2 linked regions of the Xenopus tropicalis genome follow. The protein of the gene in region 1 purifies or fractionates together with the protein of each later gene. This does not show direct contact. Links are inferred from orthologs where the notes say so. Each region holds a gene or a part of one and is shown on either strand. Other genes may lie near its edges.

Region 1 (3,096 bases):
AAGGAATTTTATGGCTACTATAACAGCATTGTGAATGTATATATTACACTTGTGTGGATATTTTTGTAGGTTTGTGAAAGCAAGCCTTTAATTAGTGCCTCTTCACCTGCTGTGGACTTAAAATTCATTGCAAGACTCAGTCAAGAGTGAATCGTAAATTGTCAATGTGGCTGCTCTGACAGCATTGGGACAAATAAACTGACCAGTTTGCATGTATTATGCTTCCTGTAGCACACAAAGAGCTGGATGAAGAAAGAGATTTTTAGTGAGCATCTAGAAATCAAAGTGTAGGTCATAACTCAACTAGGATATTTAAATATGCCTTTGCTTAATTCTAGGCTTATAGAATGCATATAATCAAAATAGATATGTTTTGGGCAGTATGGACAGTGAGGGCTTTTTCAAATCTTACTATGGACTGCTGCTATGTGCTAATTTTAATTTTAATCAGACTGCATTGCCCACAGGTCATACTATAAGCCTGTCTGTCTAGTTACTCTATATACAGTGGTGTGAAAAACTATTTCTTATTCTTTTGCATGTTTGTCACACTTAAATGTTTCTGCTCATCAAAAACCGTTAACTATTAGTCAAAGATAACATAATTGAACACAAAATGCAGTTTTTAAATGAAGGTTTACCTTTTTAAGGGAGAAAAAAAACTCTACATGGCCCTGTGTGAAAAAGTGATTGTTAAAAAATAACTTAACTGTGGTTTATCACACCTGAGTTCAATTTCTGTAGTCACCCCCAGGCCTGATTACTGCCACACCTGTTTCAATCAAGAAATCACTTAAATAGGAGCTACCTGACACAGAGAAGTAGACCAAAAGCACCTCAAAAGCTAGACATCATGCCAAGATCCAAAGAAATTGAGGAACAAATGAGAACAAAAGTAATTGAGATCTATCAGTCTGGTAAAGGTTATAAAGCCATTTCTAAAGCTTTGGGACTCCAGCGAACCACAGTGAGAGCCATTATCCACAAATGGCAAAAACATGGAACAGTGGTGAACCTTCCCAGGAGTGGCCGGCCGACCAAAATTACCCCAAGAGCGCAGAGAACTCATCCGAGAGGCCACAAAAGACCCCAGGACAACATCTAAAGAACTGCAGGCCTCACTTGCCTCAATTAAGGTCAGTGTTCACGACTCTACCATAAGAAAGAGACTGGGCAAAAACGGCCTGCATGGCAGATTTCCAAGGCGCAAACCACTTTTAAGCAAAAAGAACATTATGGCTCGTCTCAATTTTGCTAAAAAACATCTCAATGATTGCCAAGACTTTTGGGAAAATACCTTGTGGACCGACGAGACAAAAGTTGAACTTTTTGGAAGGTGCGTGTCCCGTTACATCTGGCGTAAAAGTAACACAGCATTTCAGAAAAAGAACATCATACCAACAGTAAAATATGGTGGTGGTAGTGTGATGGTCTGGGGTGGTTTTGCTGCTTCAGGACCTGGAAGGCTTGCTGTGATAGATGGAACCATGAATTCTACTGTCTACCAAAAAATCCTGAAGGAGAATGTCCGGCCATCTGTTCGTCAACTCAAGCTGAAGCGATCTTGGGTGCTGCAGCAGGACAATGACCCAAAACACACCAGCAAATCCACCTCTGAATGGCTGAAGAAAAACAAAATTAAGACTTTGGAGTGGCCTAGTCAAAGTCCTGACCTGAATCCTATTGAGATGTTGTGGCATGACCTTAAAAAGGCGGTTCATGCTAGAAAACCCTCAAATAAAGCTGAATTACAACAATTATGCAAAGATGAGTGGGCCTAAATTCCTCCAGAGCGCTGTAAAAGACTCGTTGCAAGTTATCACAAACGCTTGATTGCAGTTATTGCTGCTAAGGGTGGCCCAACCAGTTATTAGGTTCAGGGGGCAATTACTTTTTCACACAGGGCCATGTAGGTTTGGATTTTTTTTTCTCCCTAAATAATAAAAACCCTCATTTAAAAACTGCATTTTGTGTTTACTTGTGTTATCTTTGACTAATAGTTAAATGTGTTTGATGATCAGAAACATTTTGTGTGACAAACATGCAAAAGAATAAGAAATCAGGAAGGGGGCAAATAGTTTTTCACACCACTGTATAGGCAAGTTAGAAACCCCTTTTATAGGAGCATACAAAAGTTGCGCAACAAGAATGTCTTTATACTTTAAAAATATCCCCATTTGAACAATAAGAGGGGAGGTAAGGTGTGCACTGTATAGCTGGCCATACATGCACAGATATTATCAATACCTTGTTTTGTACGATATTCGGTGTGTGTATGGTGGGTCGAAGAGGTGACAGATATCACAAAGGCTGCGGATAGCTGTCATCTCGTCGATTGGCCATGTTAAAAGATTTTGATCGGGGCCATTGAAGGCGCCCAAGCAAAATCTACGTTTAGGGCTGAATCAGCAGGTGGAGGTAGAATTTCTATACTTCCATATCTGACGATTCAGCCCTGAACGTCAGTGGAGGGTGGGAACAAGCTAACCATTGGTATAGATTGTTATACTTTGAAATGTAATACTTTGTTGTATTTGGAGATTTGTAAGAAACTAGAAATACCCATGAAAGTATTTCTTCTTTGTTTATGCATCTAGGAAAGACATGTTTGTGCTTTATTGTAATAGAGCTTCACATATTGAGCCAACATGTTAAAACAGTTAGAATGCAGCTGGTTGAAAAAAAATGTAACTATTCAATGAACTGGTTGCTATGGCTATGGATTACTGCCCAGGTGCAAATTTGCCCAGTGTTAGTAAATGAGACAAACTGTTCTTAAACGTTTAAGGAGATTTTTTTTTTCTTTGCTCTTATTTTCTCTCTTCTGGTTTATTTTAGGATTGGCCCTTTGATGATGGAGCCCCACCTCCAACACAGATAGTTGATGATTGGCTAAACCTCTTGAAAACCAAATTCCGTGAGGAGGCTGGATGCTGCATTGCTGTTCACTGTGTGGCTGGACTTGGGAGGTATGTTCTCCAGCCACCCCCACATATTAATTTGGGGCAATCTCTATAACATAGCTTTGAACAGCCATCCACTGGAAATTCCCTAACCTAAGGCTTATGTCTGAAGTCTTTAAGAAGAGAAGTGGTT
Region 2 (3,495 bases), on another chromosome or scaffold:
CTTGTTGACCTTGTAAATTCCCATAGCACTAATCTGTCAGTATTTAGTCTCATGTTAAACTTGTGCTGAGCTGATGCTGGTGTGTGATTGCTACTGCAATGATCAGAGAAGCAAATCAGGTAAAAAGTAAAGTGTTTACTTGGCTTGAAACAGTTGTACCCCACGGTAATAAAAAGTGTTATTATTATTAGTATCCTTTGTTTATATAGCACTGACAATATATTCTGCAGAGATTACACATGAGTCCCTGCCCAGTTAAAGGAGAAGGAAAGGCAGAGTCACTTGGGGGTGCCAAAATGTTAGGCACCCCCAAGTGACTTTAATCGCTTACCTTGTACCCCGGGCTGATGCCCGTCAGGAGAAAACAGCACCAGCCCAGGGTACCTGCAGCGCTTCCTCCTTCTGGCTTCGTTTTCCGGCTAATTCCAGTGGCCGGCGCATGCGCAGTAGAGTGAAAAGCCGACTTCTCTGTTAAAGTTCCACTATTCACTCTACTGCGCATGCGCCAGCCCGGGGTACAAGGTAGGCGATTTAAGTCACTTGGGGTGCCTAACATTTTGGTACCACCAAGTGACTTTGCCTTTCCTTCTTCTTTAAATTTACAGTCTAAGGTCCCTGTCACATTCACACACACTAAGCTCAGTTTTATTAGAACCCAATTGACCTGCCTGTATGTGGTTCTTCCTCACTTATAACTGTCTGTGCTACATTGCCCCCATGCCATAGGCAATATCCTATGTTTTTATACAAATATATAGGAAAGCATAAATAGAGAGGGGCCAATATTTTAGTATTTTGGTTGGTAACAGTAATTGGTAAATACTGAATCCTGTCCCTTAAATTCAGGGTAGGGTAGAGACCCCCCCCCCCCCCCACAAAGATACACTGCAATGTTCTCAAGCTTCATAAATTCCATCACAAATTGTATATTCGCCCAGTGTGTCCTGACGTTTAACAGTCGAATAAAACTGAATGTAATGCAACATAGAACAAGTAAACTTTGGGGGCCAGTTACAGTATAGTTACATTCCCAAGCAGGGATGATTTTGATAAATAATCAAAAAAGTGAATATGGATGTGCTTTTCTTAAATCAGCCCCTTGGCTCTTTCTGTATGCTCTGTCCTACCCCATTACAATTTATTAGGGTTTCCTTTTTGTTTTGTGTTAATTTTACATTTTTTTAATTGTCTTTGTCATAGCAGAGAATAAATCTCCACCCCGTCCATGTGGATTGAACCATTCGGACTCTCTTAACAGAAGTGATAGAATTGACGCTGTGACGCCTACACTGGGAAATAGTAACAACCAGCTCAATGCTTCCTTCTTACAAGTCTATATCCCTGACTACTCTGTAAGAGCCATAACAGACATGCAGTTTGTTAAGGTATTCAACTTTTTTTTTATCCATTTTCAAATTCATAGATTAATAAAGTTCAACAAAACCACCAATCTTGGCTAGATCCGACCTTTGTTTAATTGCATGGCTATTTATTGTTATTTAAATGAATCCAAATACAGTTAGTACTGACAGTCCGCTTAATGGGTCACCATACTGTTGTGTTATTTTCTCCTATAGGGATTGTGATAATTTCCCCTTTCCCCTAGTCCTTCAATGAAGACATTACAAACACAGCATACAATTTTAGGGTGGCAACCTGGCCATCTTAAGATACCATAACCCTCCAGTTGTGTTATGATGGTTTTATAAGAGACTAGCAGGGATTATGGCCTAGTTGTCAGACTATACCTGTCTAAATTGACTAAAGATGAAATTCTCTGGGTTTAACAGGTAAAAGCCCTCAGTATAGGTATTTTGCAGTACCTAGCATAAGTCATCAGGAATCTGGAAACCACCCTAAGCAAATATGTGCTGCGGAGAATGGCAGTGTTTGTTAAAAACCATCTGCCATAAATTTCATCAAGTTGTAAAAGTATTTTTTTCTTCAATCATATCCCGAAATACAAAGTAACCAGTATCCAAGATACTTCTAAATTTCCCAGGGCCAAGTGCTTCTTAGTGCCAAAGTACCACTGCCATAGCCAATTCACAAAGCAAATGGGAAAGAAAACTTTGCCTGTCAGTCATTTTAAAAGGGCAAATCAACAAGCACTTAGGGTTAGGGATGCTCCTGATACCCCAACTCTTCACAAACAATTTGGCTCAACACTGAATCCAAACCCAATTTTGTATTAGTAAATCGAGGGCAGAGTAGTAACCAATAGCAGCCACTCTTTTGCTCTCATTCATCTAAGGGCAATGAAAGACAGAGATATATTAACCGAAGGTCAGACTCCAGAAACTTGATACTTTGGATAATAAAAAAGTATAAGAGGTTTTATTAGAGGAAATTTTTGGTAAGTCTACATATCTTCATGTTGCTGTCTCTAAGTTATGGAACCCTTTTCTGTTTGTCTGCAAATTAGATCACAAGGCAGCAGTACCAAAATGCATTAATGGCTTCACGCATGGACAAAACGCCTCAATCCTCAGACAGTGAGAACACTAAAATAGATATGACTCTTACCGAGCTACACGACGGCTTAGCAGATGAAACAGCAAATCTGTTAAACGAACAGAACTGTGTCACACACAACAAGTCCAACCACAGTATGCACAATGAAGGTCCGATTTGAGGGGGTTCAGCCCAGCTCATTGACATTCAGGACTGTCCTCACTTCATTCTCAAGCTTCCTTCCCGGATTCCTGTCTGTGCAACTGCAAACACCTTGAGTACAAGCTCATGCCGAGTGCCACCCAGCATTCTGAGACCAAAGATTCTGAGCCCAGCGGTGGCAGGAACCGAAGTACTTAAAACAGGAGCAGGAGAGAGACATCAGGAATAAAGCAAATAGTAATAAATAAAACTAGGGATTGGTGAGTGAGACCAAAAAAGATGATCATCAAACAAAATAAGATACTGTTTTACCCCCCTTATTGACTCGTGGCATGGTTTGATATCATAATTGGACCAATCACAATGCAGAAATCACTACTGCAATATTATGGTTGGTTGTCAAAAACTCAGGCCTTAAATACATGTTAGCCTGGTTCTCATAAACCCCAAAGTGACTGGCTCGATTCATCCGAAATTCTTCTGTCCATGGGAAATTTCAGCCAAAAAATGACGATATAGGTACTTTGGTGTTTAAAAATCAGATGTTATGGGGTAGTTAATGGTTTCCCTTTTTTCCATCTCACTAGGAGTCGTTTATTCTTGCATTGACAAGCGGAAACCTGTAAGAGTACGGGTTGTTGTTATTCTTCTTTAGCAGAAAATTGTTTTTGCTCTTACATGTTATGTCTTACATGTTATGTTTTTTTCTCTGGTTTATACTTTAAAAGTAGACCTCATTGGCTACCCAAGTTCATTAGGTTTTCTTCTAATTGTATTCAGCTGATATCACTGTACTCTGAGCAAACATAAGATATACATCTTATAGCTCGTTACAGTGGACTAACCCAAAGATATGTCAGTTTTAATTCATATTTTTTT

The links. The genes of interacting proteins can lie anywhere in the genome.
Region 2: the proteins of ptp4a2 (region 1) and cnnm2 purify together in Homo sapiens (affinity purification with mass spectrometry; 4 studies listed by BioGRID and IntAct, counting the BioPlex papers as one, with this or other methods). This does not show direct contact. The link is inferred for Xenopus tropicalis from reciprocal best matches to the Homo sapiens genes PTP4A2 and CNNM2.

Annotation. Positions count from the first base shown.
Region 1 is NC_030678.2:86,680,555-86,683,650, forward strand, and holds part of ptp4a2 (protein tyrosine phosphatase type IVA 2), read left to right. Parts: intron 1-2,838; coding exon 2,839-2,969; intron 2,970-3,096.
Region 2 is NC_030683.2:28,751,378-28,754,872, reverse strand, and holds the end of cnnm2 (metal transporter CNNM2 precursor), read left to right. Parts: intron 1-1,200; coding exon 1,201-1,385; intron 1,386-2,425; coding exon 2,426-2,635; 3' UTR 2,636-2,894; downstream 2,895-3,495.